Linked DNA regions of Danio rerio. The protein of the gene in region 2 purifies or fractionates together with the protein of the main gene of each other region. This does not show direct contact. Links are inferred from orthologs where the notes say so. Each region holds a gene or a part of one and is shown on either strand. Other genes may lie near its edges.

Region 1 (5,144 bases), on a different chromosome or scaffold from region 2:
GTGGTTTTCCAATGTTAAAAACTACTAGTGCTATTTTCACTAGCCACAATTTTGTTTTGTTACTTGATTTAGATTTTGTGTTCTTTTTTGTGTGTTTGTGTATGAGCTTGCTCAGTGAGCATGAGCAAATGGGTCATGGTTTCATATTGTTATATTGCAATTAGTAATTATTTCACATGACTTTTCAGAGCTCAAAATTAAGGATTTACCTAATTTATCTCTGACCACAGCAAACAATAATTACTTCTTAGCTGTGTCAAAACAAGCAGAATATATCTGTATACTGTACTTTTTATTTAACAAAAAAATTATAAAAAAAAAAGAAAAACAATTGACTTTTAAAAAATAATTATTGTCATGTATCTAAAACTATGCACAGTAATCTGTCCTAGATAAAGGTCTCTCAGATCACCAGTTAGCTACACATAAATGGGGAGTTAATGTCCCATTAAAGCAATGTTATTGAAAAAATGTTAATTGAACCAAATCAATAAAAATAACTGTAAGCAAAAGAAAGCAGGTGAAATACATACCGTGTGTAATTATCAAAGAATGATCACACGCACACGGTTAACGTTAGGCCAATTAATAATCTGTTGAAAGTGAAAGCAAGCGGTACAGACAACACAAAGATCAGCTGGTCTGTTTATGAGCTGACATATGAGCGATTCGATGATGAATCAACTGATCTTCATGGCTTTGAAATGCTCCAGTGTCCCTGTATCTATAGTTTACACTGTGGTGAGCTTGGTGATCTAAGGACCCTCACGGCCAATCACAGTCATTTCTGTTGGGCTTGTGAACACAATGGCAAATTAGCGCTGTTTAAGAACACGCTCAAATGTAAACGGGAAATGGACATGTTTAAAATATCATTACTGACTGGTATCAAATTCCAGTATCATGAAAACACTATTTTATTAAAAAAAAAAACTTACATATTGTGCCTTCAATACAAACTTCTTGACTTAAAGTCATAGTCTGAGCAATTGATTGCACTAATTGGTGAATGCGCTCGTTATAGAGATATAACTACTGCAGGATTAAAGAAACAGCCAATGAAACTCCAGAATTAACTGTTGTCTAACATGAATTCCATAAAGACAGAAACAAAGATAAACGAGAAATGAAAATAAAAACACATTGTACCTTGAAAATAGCTGCATCTTCCTCACTGCGAAAGTCTTGTTTTCCTGCATGTTTCCATGGGATGCGAAACATGGTTTTCTCTGGGTTGTCCCAAACCAGGCCGAGATACTTCCCACTATTCACCTACATCCCACAGCACACACAATGAAAAATAAAAATCTAACTCAACAACAGCAAACTACAGCAGAATTAGACAGCTTTGCGAGAAATTAATTGCATGACTTTGCTGTTTAAACCAGTAAAAACATCTAAAACTACTTCTCAGAATGTGCTATTTACTGACGTAAGGATTAGAGGTTGAAATTTGTATGTGTTTGATTGACATGATCAGTTGTATCTTAAACAATAACTAAAGCCCTATATGCACAACACGCCAAAACTTGCAACAAATGGGCTACAAAAGCAGAAGACCACACTGTGTGCCAATTATATCAGCTACAAACAGGAAACCAAAATTTAACAATAGTAGATTCAAAAATGTTGCCTGGCCTGCAGATGTAAGGTCGAAATTTGATGTAAACTACATAAAACATTGATCCCTTCCTTGTATAGGCAGTTCAGGCTGATGCTGGACGTGTGGTAGATGTTTTCTTGGCACACTTTGAGCTCCTTTTAAGCACCACTAAACAACTAACATGAGTGTTTTTTACTATGTCCATCCATTTGTAAATATAATATTTATATCTTATGGCTACTACCAGAGTACATCTCATATCACAAATAATGCGGGTAGCTTAAACATGCTAACAGGTTCAGTTGACTATCCTCAAATGACCCCCAGGGTCACCATGTCACCATCTAAAGAACACTGGTGGCGGAATGGGAGACTTGCGGCATGTAGCTTTAAAACGGAGGCTAAAGGTGATATTAAACATTTATCATGCCAGTTTGAACCTAAATGTCTGAGAAATGAACTGCTCTTCCTTCTAACTTATGTAATTCACATGATTCTATGAAATCATATCTGTTATGCACACTCCTTACACACCTGTTCTACTATCCATGAACGCAGACGGCGTGTGGAGCGTATCCTTCCAGATGCCATCTGAAAAGAATCATACAATGACAGCTCCAGTTACGATAATTGTAACACCTGTAACAATAAAAAATACCATGTATTTGTTTAATTTACACAAATTCATAATGGTTTATTAAAAATAAGAACTTTAATTCATTTGAGTTCCAATTTTGCAATATGTCAAAGCAATTTTAGAACTGATCGAGTTGGAATGTGGATTAGTTTTAATCTTTGATACTTTCAGCATCTATAAAACAATAAAGAAATCTGGTCACACTTTACAATAAGGTTCATTAGTTAATGTTAATTAATGCATTTACTAACATGAACAAACAATGAACAATACATTTACTACGGTATTTGTTCATGCTAGTTAACATTAGTTAATGAAAATACAGTTGTTCATTGTTAGTTCATGTTAACTCATGGTGCATTAACTAATGTCAACAAGCATGGACTTGGATGTTAATAATGCATTATTAAATGTTCAATTATGATAAATAAATGCTGTACATGTGTTGTTCATGATTAGTTCATGTTAGTAAATACATTAACTAATGAACCTTATTGTAAAGTGTTACCAGAAATCTAAAACTGACCAGTCAGAGCTATACTATTCACATTTCCTTTAAACTGCGTTTACGACTTAAACCGATTTATTTTTTTTCATTTGTGGAAATCAATAGAGTCACCGATAGAATTGCCACTTTATAGTGCCCTAAGAAGCCTGCGCACTATAGGGAGCGGCGGTACTAAGTTATAAACACCTAACTGCAATAAGTTACCACAGAATGTCTGTAAACAATATGAGCTACTACAGTTACATGTATAAAACAATGCGTGAAAATGAAATAACGTTACCTGGTATTTAGTTTGTTCAACTTTTTTCTTTTAAAAACATTTACATCAAATAATTGCATTCTAATGCTGTACGTGAGATTAATGGACAACTCTAAGTTTAGATTAAGGTCATTTAGACAATAGACATTATGTACATTGTTTCTAATTACCTTTAGTGTCGGTCCTGTGCAGTATCAGTCGTTCTGTAGATCACAGTTTATCCAGCCCATCGCACAAAAAATAATGAAAGCAAAAGCAGTGGAGCGAACCAGGCTGTTTACGCCTAGTTAAATGCCTCTCAGATTTGAAGGGGCGCTCGGCAGCTCACAGTGCCAAATTATTATTATTATGCCATTAATACAATATCATTTATTCAGATCAAGGCATAGGATACAAACATTGACAACGTGTAGAGTAAAATCCTTTTTTAAATTGACTTTCCTCGTCCGTCTTAAACGATTGTGACTACATCGATTTCAACAGCAATGAGAAAAGTCTACAGTTCCACGTGACGTCGTGCCGCAGCCTTCAGTTGTTTTTGCGTATGCGTAAAGTACTGGAACGTAGGCTTTATATTGATATAATTAATTAGATTGATATATTATTAAGTAATATTATTTTATATTTTCTTTGGTTAATAAGTCTAAATGCCTTAATGCGTAAGGACTTTTAAAGCAACACCCACTTTAGTGCCTCACTCTGTCAGTTTCCCTTCTGCCAGTTTCATTCATTTAAAAAAAACGCCGCTCTTCCCAGAAATCACGTGATAGCACGGATTTCTTGTTCAAGCTCTGGTTCCAGCCTATGATACAAGCCTACACGAAGATAAATAAATAAATAAATAAATAAATAAATAAATAAATAAATAAATAAAAATGTAAAAAGGAAGAAAAAAGAAAAAGCGGAAAACAATAATCGGCATCTAGTGAAAAAAGTTTAACTAAGAAATGCAAAGTATTCCATGATTTAGCTGTCATTTACTAATATTCTATTTAAACTTAGATTTTCATCATGGCTACTGCCTAACACAAATAAAATGCTTTAATTTTTTTACTTAATTATTTCGTCCTAGGTCTATACAGCATATACTGTAAAGTAGATAGCATATTTTATAGAGAAATATATGGAGAGAGAGAGAGAGAGAGAGAGAGAGAGAGAGAGAGAGAGAGAGAGAGAATAAAACAATGGTCACAGTATAACTGTGAGGATAGTGTTTCTGTATTTCCTCTTACTGTATTAGTCTATCACCATTTGTTAACCTATTTGTTAAATACGACCCCTGCTGGTGTATATATAACCTACATATCTGTCCTTGAAGTAAAAAGTGTAAAAAAATCTGAGTTGTTCTGTAAAGCAATGTACATTCATTTGGTTCTCTGATTTAAAAAAAAAAAAAAAAAAAACATTAAAAACACTTTACACTATAAAAGAAAAAAAAAATCCTGTCATTGTCCTCGTCCTTAGCCCACTTAAACCTACAGCTTTAATGGTTTTGTTATGCTAAAAGCTGTTATTTAGAAAAAAATTCAGAAGTAGCAAGTTTGAAGGGGTGGTCTACTAAGATATAATATTTTAAACTTTAGTTGATGTGTAATGTAGCTGTGTGAACATAAACAACATCTCTAAATATAAGATGCTCAAATCTAATGCAAAGGCAGACATTGGGGAGTTAGCTTTGCAAAGCCTACAGTGAATAAATTTGGGGACTATAAAAAAATACATCAGGGCTAGTGAGATCACAAGAGCTGAAAAAAACAGAATTTGAGAAAGCTCAAATGCCGTCTAAATGCTGCTTTTCCACAGAACATGTTCTGTTTCTGTTTTTGGGATTCTAAAGGACATGGCTTGAAAAGAGAAGCGCTTAGAGTTTAATTTTAATTATGTTCCAATTGAAGAATTATAAAAAATATATAGTTAGCATTTGATAAAGGAGAACTTCCAGAATCTTTCTCAGTTCAGTACTGGATTCGGCTAAAAACTCCTTCAACAGACAAAGTTGTGGATTGTGAGCCACAACCTGTGAGTATTTTTATTTGTTAAAATTGAACAACTACAAGCACAGTTTCTAGCAATAATAGTATCTTTAGTGAGGACGTAAACAAGAATATAAACAATGGGAAATGCTGCTTGGCATTTT
Region 2 (5,010 bases):
CATGTTGTACAAACAGACATTCATTAGTCCACATAAATAATTTAGTTTGTTAAGCGCAAAGATTTTTTTCAAAACTATTTCTAAATTCAGTTCTAAATACCAGCAAACGAATAAATGAACAATAATAACGAAGAGTGCTCAAAAAACTGAGTTATATCCAAATGCACATGCTGTGCCCCATATGGTCTAAAACCTGACAAGTGGACAAATATAAGCTTGTTTTTAATAAAACAAATATAAATATGCAGGGGCGATTTAAGGATTTTCATTTTAGGGGGGCTGAGCTCCTTATAAGGTAAAAAAATTGATATATACATAAAGCTTAATATTACATTTATAAGTAGTAATTTAATAGTAATACACTTAAAAATGTTTGTTTAATAAGGCTTGTATACTATTATTCCATTGTATTACATAGACAGGCATAGCCAGATTGAGTTCTGAGTAAGCCAAGTAGGCTCAACCCACCTGTTTACCATAGTAAAAAACACTTTCTATATTCGAGTGCATTTGTTGTGCATTTCAGGTATTCAATAAATAAACTGCCACTTTTCTAATTAAATGACAAACATAATATTCTAATTCACATATTTCTAATTCACATATTTCAGGATCTGAATGATAATAAATAAGAAGTATTCATTTAGTACTAGACAACACTTGATGTTTCTATTTCTGTCAGTGACTCAGTCACAGTTAAAACTTTGAGTACATTCTCAAAGTGCTTCTGTCACTGTGTTTAATGCTTTTTGTGCAAGACTGTATGGTATAGTTAGTGCCAGACGAACTGTAAAGTGTTTTTATTGGTAGTTCATTTTGAAATAAAAATTGTGAAATGTTCGTTAAGAGTTACTTTTTTCGCTGGAGGAAACAGCTGTGCTAATGAGGTGAACGCAGAGAAAACCCCACTGCTCCTCCATGACACTGGGATACAGATGATACAAGGTTATCTATATCAAAGAACTGCTAATAAGCAGACATTATAACACCTTGTTCTCTCGACGTCCACGGCTGTGGTTTGCTGATCAAATGAAAAAAGAAAAGAAGGGGAGGAGCGGAATTCTGCCGCTGTTTCATATTAAATTTAAAGGTGACTGAGGCAATAATTGAGTGTACAGTTCATGAGCTAATCGCAAAAAGTTTTAGGGGGGCTGAGTAGAATAGGCCTAGCAACACCCATGTAAATATGTAAATAATAAATAATACTGCTAATAATAATAACATTACACAAAAGCAAATTGTAATGAATAAACTAAAAAAGCCCCCAGAGATAAAGAAGGCATGAAATTATGGTTTTTATATTTATGTAGGCTAGAAAAGAATATTTTTGTTATATTTTAATCCTTGAATCCTTTTTAATTTGTAAAGATATTTGTGTATTGCTGTACACCTTGTATGTATTAAGCAATGTGTCAGCGAGGTGCACAACTAACCTGCTCTGCGCTGGACTTTAGACCTGCTTTGATCTGGTCTATTGAACAGACAATTTAATTCTGTCACGGTTGCAGGTTTGTGCACCTTTCGGAGTGTCTGTTTGGTCACGTGGGTTTTGTTTTGGTTGTGCACGTGTATTGGTTATAGTCACGTGCTATGACTATACTCTCTGTTTTGATTAGCTCACCAGCTGAGGCTTACTATCGTGCCTATATCTGGGCGACGCTTCTATGTTTCTTTGTCAGTTCGTTGTGTTTGCTCGTGGGTCTGTCTGTGCTTAGGACTGTGAGGAGGACCCCGTTCGTCTGTCTGTTTCCTACCCTGTTTTCCCAGTTGTCCTTGCACACGCATACAGCCCTGTTGGTTTGTTTTGACTGCATCAAATAAACACGTTACTTGCATTTGGATCCTTCTCTAAATCTTGTTTGATTGTGACAAATTCCTTAAAATAGCAACGTGCCTTAATACACTTGGTTTTTTAGACCAGAATGCCTATGAGCGCTAATGCATTTGTTATTTAAATAACGTGGTGCAAAACGTCAAAATGACTCTTGCACCATGCAGAAATTAGCAAACAACCTTTGAGTCGCGCCTTGCGCCTCATTGCACCGGGTGTATGATAGGGCCCAAAGTGTTGACCTGCTTTACTGTGGAAAAAAAAACATTCATTTACACTATATCGCCGACCCTGTCTACTTCTTCCCACAACAAGACCGATTTGTCACAGCGGTGTTTAAATGTCTGTACTGCACTTCAACAATGCGACTAAAATCAGCATACTCCACATGTCTTAATTCCATTTCTGTTTAGTTCGATTATGACTTTAATCGGATTAAATTAATCAAAAATCGCTGTTTACTCTTAATCAAAGAATTGTCCTAATTGTCCGGATTATTGGTGTCCATGTAAACATGCTCTTTGTCTCAAAATGATGATGATTGGTAGCAATTTATTATGCAAAAAATTTTTAATCATTATTTTAAAATCTCACCAGTCATGACTCTCAATCCAGTGACATAGATATTGTCGGATCTCCATTGGGAAAGCCTCATCGTAAAGCTGGTCCACTTGCTCCAAATACATTGAGTCCAGCAGCTGCAGCTGGTTCCAGAGCGTCATCTGCAAACATAAAATTGCAACCCGTTATGCAACCCTCTCTGCGTTGACATTTCTCACCAAGCACCTTGTTTTATGAAATTATTACTTTAGTTATTATTGCTTTTAATATTATTTCCATTAATAATAATAATAATAATAATAACAGTAATAATAATAATAAAATAATATTAGAGAGATTTTTAAAGGATCATGGAACTCTAAAGACTGGAGTAATGAAGCTGGAAATTCATCATTAAAATCACTGGAATAAACAATTAAATTAAATGACAAACTACTTTTGAACAGTTATTTTATAGTGCAATAACATTTCACAATTTTACTATTTGTACTGTATTTTTGATGAAATAAATACAGCCTTGGTGAGCAGGAGAAGCTTATTTTAAAACATTTTAAAATCCTGCTGACCCCAAACTTTTGACCAGTTGTGAATATAAATACATATATACATTTTTCACAATAAATGGGACTTTTATAAAATATTATTTATTTTAATTAATAATTTAATTAAAAGTAGTTATAACTTTACAATTTAAAATGTTTGATTTATTTTTAACTCATTGTAAATTGTAAAAAAGTTTAATAGCCATCAAGCCCATGCATATAAAATCTTTTGCATAAAAGTCATGCAGATATGATCAAAAGATATGAGAAAATGAAATAGCCATCTACAGCAGAAAATTATTTTAAGAGATCCCTAAAGCTTCTAATCTATGCAATTAATTTACTTATTTAAAACGTTTTCATTTTCTAAAATGTATGAAATGAAATTACAAATTACATGATATGACATTCACTAATATTTCATTACATTATAAACAAAAAGCTGCTTTACGTGGCATTTCATTATCTCCAGCTTTCCCATAGCATTTTGCATGAACAAACTCATATAAAACGCATAACATGTATTACCTTTCAACGTGGACGTTTAGTCAAGTCACTAAAGGAGTGTATCTCGGGATAAGCAGATAAAATACGCGTAGACTAAACTGTCTGCTTCAGCCTTTTATTCTCCTCAGTGACTTCGTAATTATAGAATACTCACAGAGGTGGATGTCACATTAACTTCTCAGGCCAATGGTAACGCTTTAACTGCCATATTTAAATACACCAGCGATGACAACCAATCACGTTCTGATGCGTACAGTAAAAGCACGCCCCCTAGCCAATGGCTGTTCCAGGGAAGCGCAGCCCTCCCTTTACTCTCACACTCAATACAGAATAGGAACTGATAAGAGAACAGAAACTCAGCGAAACACAAAGATGTTGTTATGCCTTTTGATGGACGGATACTAATACTTCATAATAAGATGATAACATTTCATTATTTATTTCTTAAGATACATAAGAATAGCTATATGATCAATAAAACGCGTACGGAACAGAAAGTTCATGCTGAGATGCTTGTTGTCAGGGGGAGGTTACGAAACTCATAGCACAGCCACTAGCCATCGGGTAAGCACACGTTTTCCGAGAAAACGAGAGTTAAAATCAAATGCTGGAAAGAAACAGAAACGAAACTTGGATTTGTCAATTCCATGTTATGTTTTTGCACACCACTGGGTGAAGGAGTCCTAATAAATACCAAACTGTATAAATTTAATAACACTATTCACTTAAATGCTCATTTTATACTCAATATAACAAAACACTAAATCATTTATTTCGGGAGTGTACTTACTGTAAAGTGTTTTGGTTTGACTTTTCCAATTTCATTAAATTCTTACTCCAAACTTGTGTATATACCCCAAAAATTATATTCTTTGGTTACTTTGTACTTAGATCATTCTCTTTGTAAAGGTACTATTAGTTCATTGCTTTTTCTAGCTAAATTTTATATCTATAAATGTAAATTTTCAAAGAAACATCCTTTTTTTTTATTATTAGGAAGGATTCTGATGTATACGTGAAATACTTAAACTTGAATAATTATATTGCATTTCTTGTTGTAAAACATTTAAACTTTTAGACTCTTGTTTTCTCTCTTTGTTCATATTGTATCTTTGTAAATGTTAAATGTTCTTAAATGTAATCTAGCACAGACGATTATTCTGGTAAGATTTTACTTTTAGCTTGAAACAAAGTACCAAGATAGAACTGCAACTCAAAGTTAAGTATATTTTATTATGAAGACTCAATCTCAATATTTTGTATATTGTCTTTATTTATAATTCATTATTCATAAGTGTAAATGGGAAATAAATAACCTAGTTTTACTTATTAATTACTACCTTTGTACATAAAAAAACAAGAAATAAAAAAGTGAAAAAAGTTTCAAACGTATTATCTTAAATGATTTGTTACTATTTACACCAAAATTTGAGAATGGATGTCTTGTTGTTAATTATATTTTTATTACTTACTACTTTTTCTATGTTTTCCTTTCATTGAATTATTATTTTTGTGCTATTGCCCTTGTACAATACCTGACAAATTTTTGTCATCAATTCCATTTGTAAG
Region 3 (4,501 bases), on a different chromosome or scaffold from region 2:
GTGGCTGGGAACCACAAGAAAAGAAACCAAAAAGCCACTCTAGCAATACTTACATCCTTTTTTATTTACAATCTTCTAACTGCTGCTAGTCACGACACTCATTTTTGTGTGTGTTGTTATTCTGACGTGAAGTGACAAGTGTGAGCGCATGGTGTCCCTCACCATTTTCTATGCGATTTGCGCTTGCTCTCCCCTAACATTAAGGCATTAACCGTTTTCTCAGAGGATGACAAATAGACAAACCATTGCTGCAGTTTCGATACAAGTTTATGGAGAAAAGTAAAAAGCACATCAGTGTTTGGATGCGCTCTGATTGTCTGAGGTAATTAGTCTGCCGTTATTATCGAGATGTGTGTAATATGAAAATATGTGAATATATTCTATAAGTGTGAAGCAGATTAGTTAGTTCTACTTACATGAGTCGTGGTACGCTTGCGGCATTCGGAATAGTTGTGATATTTTCAACTATATGCGCCTGGAAATTGTGCGTAGGTGTGTGCCGCTTGCACAACATGTGTGCGTTGCTCCCATATGCACGACGTGCAAGTCACACGACTCCATTGGAAATGACAAACTTGCACCATAAGCTTATTGGCAGTGCTCAGCAGCCACATTTTAATAAAACTATAGCACTTGATAACAAAACATTATACTGAACTTTTTTTGATCAATATTGACAATCGTGTTCACTCATTAAATACCAATACCTATTTTGTCGCCCAGCCCTATGTACTAAATATAATCAGTAACGCACAGAATTCATTTACAGAATCATTTTAAAACAAACTGGCGTATTAATGCTGTTTTTTTAAGTGAACTCTCAAATCTGTTTTTAAACCAATTCCTTGAACTCAACCATAAACTTACAATCACTTCAGCATTTCTAATGCATTGAGCTATATAGTGAGCTAAAACACTAAAGAAAATGTTTTAAATACTTATTAATGTTGTAAAACAATCAGATTCATCCTTTTATATTCTGTCTTTTTCAGAATCAGATGCCCACTCCACCATCACTATCAGTCCATAGTCCTGTAGCTCAGTCCCAGTCGTCAGTCCCAGTCTCTGGAGCCGCTGCTGGCCCTCAGGGGCCTCCGTCCAACCACCCTCCACCTGCTCCTCAGCCCGGTCTGCACACGCACTGTCCTCCCTTACGCCAAAACTCCCCTTCTCCCGCACGTAGCCTCACCCCTACCCCTGCCCCGCACCAAACACCCCCGCAGTTGCCTGGTAACCAGACCCCTCAGCCCCACACCCCTAATTCATCCACCACTATGGCTCCACCTGCATCACAGCTGCCCCCTATGGCACAGGGGGTGGCCTCCGAAAAATCCAGTCAGTTACAACAGCAGTCGCATGGAGGTGGAGCTACTGGAGGCCCCCAAACAGGGCTGGCGTCATCTGTGCCTTCCCAGAACGCCCACGGGCTTTGTACACACCCACATAGTCCTGTGAGTATCACAATCGAGTGTGTTTTCATTTGACCCTGTTTATTTGGTAAATAACAAGAAAGTACAACTCAAGCCCAACATTAGAGACTTAATTGATTTCCGATAACACATACTGACCCTTTTGACACGGAGTCCTGAAGCATAAAGTATTAGCGAGACCAACAGCATTAATTCAAATTGGATAAAGAAAGTGAGCATGTTTCACTGTGAAGAGGTCAAATATTTGAGTTCAGTATAAGTCGACCCATGTGCTTGAATGCTTGTGGTATAACTTAACTCCACCATTAATCTCTTATGTGCTTTGTTTACACTAGTTGGCTATAATTAAATGATTTAAGAGCATGAACTCAGTGAGTAAGCGCTAAAGCATTTTGAGCTCATTTAAGTTGATTCTTCAACCTGATTTCACTGGAAAATTGGCTATTTTATATTTTGGTTAATCCTTGGCTAGTTAGAATTGAATGCATATAATATTATTATTATTATTATTATTATTATTATTATTATTATTATTATTATTATTATTTAAAATATAATTTTTAAAATTGTATGAAAGTGTCAGACTTTTGATTTTTTTTGTATGTTATATAAATTCATACAATATTCTCAGTACATCAAATTACTAATTGCCCTGAGATTGTGTTGGATTCTTTGCTCTCTTAAACCTTTTTAAATGTGCAAAAGGGAATATTCTATAAGTAAAAGCACTATATATATATAGAGAAACTTTACATTTTTAAAACCCTAAAACTTTTAAAGACAGACCTTATGTTGTGTAATGTTGTATGACCTTATTCTGTTGAAGCCTTTTCTGCATTTTACACTTTATTTTACAAATTTCAAATGGTTTAATTTTGGAATCTGTGGTGAACACTACATTATCTATGATGCTTTATAAAATATTCAGCCATTAAAATCTCTTTTTAGTTTTGGCTATTTGAGAGGTTGTTTTTTGGCCAATGGCTGTTTTCCACTATTTTTTTCTTCAGCTCCTATGCTACTGTTTTGTTAGTCATTCCTTCTGACTTTAATTTACTATTACCTGTTTGTTAACGACGACAAAACATGCCAAAATGATGCAGTTAGCATCACCCTGATTCATTGGCAAAAATCCAGATTTTTTTTTTCAAATTCCTTTTTGGATTATTGCAGAAAATAAAATCTTACTCATTTTGTTAACAGCTATGACAGAAGAATGAATTAATGAATGAAGCCTAAATACAACTGGCAGAAGAAGCTGAATTTAAAAGAACTTGCGAATCAGTTAATCAATGATCAAGCAGAGATGAGAATCAAGATAATAAAGAAAAGTATTTTCTTTCTTTCATAATTGAGTTTTGAAATTTTGAAAATTAATATTTGTATCTATTTCTCAATGAATAGAGGCTATCTATTTTGGTGCATTTAAACAAAACACATTTAATAAACAGATATATATATTAAAATAATGTTTTAGTCACCAAACATATTTAGAAATTGATAGACAATACAATTAAATTCAAGCAAAATATTGCAAAAAATATTCAATCTACAAAATTTTAACTTAATTTTTATTTATTTTTTTGCTTTTCTTGATTTTTCCTTTTTTTTAGATTTGTATTTAATTTCTTTCTATAACATATAAATTTGGGTGTACTAGTTTTTGGCTATTTTTGGTTATTTCTTTAGATAAGCTCCAGCTTTTTGCTTCAGTACTGACTAATCTAATGTATATGCTCAAATATAATATTGTAGAGCTCTCTATTAAACAGAATTTGAATTGAAATTGATTTGTCAGGGGTGTACTTATATATGCTGAGCACTGTATATAAATAATAAATTGGTTATATTTTATAATTAATGTTTTTATTTTTATTTGTTGGATAGTTTTTACCACAAATGTTTGTTTGTTTATTTGGCAGGGACAGTGTACATTAATAAGCATTCCTGCAAATGCACCAGAATTAGCCAGAAGGCTATTTTTCATCTGATGTCACTGAACAACTTAAAAAAACAATACAAGAATTATACAATAAATCAAACATTGTTAAAAAGTACTAAAATAGACAAAGTTATGTAGATAATAATAAAAAATGAATATTTACAAATTAAACTAAAACACCAAAATAAATCACTTAAATTATAATTTTTTGTACCTTTATTTAAAAAAGGCCACAAAAAAAAAAAAAATATATATATATATATATATAATTATTATTACATTTTCAGCTATTTTTCTTAGAAACAGCTGGTTTGTTTTGGCTGTTGCCTTTCATTTCGGTGTGCCATTGCTTTTTGTCCTGATCTGCTGTTCTGATGTGGTACCACCCCTCAGCTCTCTCAGAAATCATCTGCGACTGTGGACGGTCAGGCCTCGACTCCTGCCTCAGTCAGCAGTGCTGACCCTAGTTCACAACTGACATCATCCGAACCCACAGCCCCTCTTGACTCCAAAACTGAGGTCAAACAGCAGGATGAAGAGGAAGAGAATGAGAATGAGACTGAGGACAAGGCCTCAGGGAAAATGGCCGCCATGCAGACCGAGATCAAGTCTGAGGAGAAACCAGAGGTGAGCGAGGGAAAGAGCTTTTACATGTTAAAACTGATTCTTTCTTTTCCAGCTTAATTTCTATCCCATCCCTAACCCTAAGGCTAAATTATACTTCTGTTTGAGTGATTGCTATAACCCACAGTGCATGCCTTGAGTGTAGTCATGCATTTATACTTCTCTGTTTGTACTGATCTGCGGTAACCCTTCTAAAATGCTAGCAGGCACTGGGGTTTCCATGCAAGTTTTTTTGCGGATGGTTTGTTTATTCCGGAAATATGTGCAATGCTGACTTAATGTACAAGTAGTATAAACTCACCCTTTTAAGGTAGAAAAAAGGCGGGAAAACTGACGCACCATCCACACCCGCTTGATAAAAAGTATAAACTGGCCTTTATTTTGATTGGTCCGCTAGATAAAGAAGGAGGAGCCTGCAGGTGATGAATGTAAGACGGAGCCAATGGAGACATCCACAGCCGAGGACAAGAAGCCGGAGGTCAAAACTGAACCCAAAGAGGAGGAG

Evidence for each region.
Region 1: the proteins of stat1b (region 2) and irf9 purify together in Homo sapiens (affinity purification with western blotting; 5 studies listed by BioGRID and IntAct, with this or other methods). This does not show direct contact. The link is inferred for Danio rerio from reciprocal best matches to the Homo sapiens genes STAT1 and IRF9.
Region 3: the proteins of stat1b (region 2) and ep300b purify together in Homo sapiens (affinity purification with western blotting; 10 studies listed by BioGRID). This does not show direct contact. The link is inferred for Danio rerio from reciprocal best matches to the Homo sapiens genes STAT1 and EP300.

The regions. Positions count from the first base shown.
Region 1 is NC_133187.1:13,853,391-13,858,534, reverse strand, and holds the start of irf9 (interferon regulatory factor 9), read right to left. Parts: upstream 3,259-5,144; 5' UTR 3,178-3,258; intron 2,243-3,177; 5' UTR 2,195-2,242; coding exon 2,138-2,194; intron 1,273-2,137; coding exon 1,150-1,272; intron 1-1,149.
Region 2 is NC_133184.1:42,946,762-42,951,771, reverse strand, and holds the start of stat1b (signal transducer and activator of transcription 1b), read right to left. Parts: upstream 3,538-5,010; 5' UTR 2,554-3,537; coding exon 2,426-2,553; intron 1-2,425. UniProt on the Homo sapiens protein: Signal transducer and transcription activator that mediates cellular responses to interferons (IFNs), cytokine KITLG/SCF and other cytokines and other growth factors.
Region 3 is NC_133178.1:23,768,015-23,772,515, reverse strand, and holds part of ep300b (histone acetyltransferase p300), read left to right. Parts: intron 1-992; coding exon 993-1,451; intron 1,452-3,765; coding exon 3,766-3,999; intron 4,000-4,393; coding exon 4,394-4,501. UniProt on the Homo sapiens protein: Functions as a histone acetyltransferase and regulates transcription via chromatin remodeling. Acetylates all four core histones in nucleosomes. Histone acetylation gives an epigenetic tag for transcriptional activation.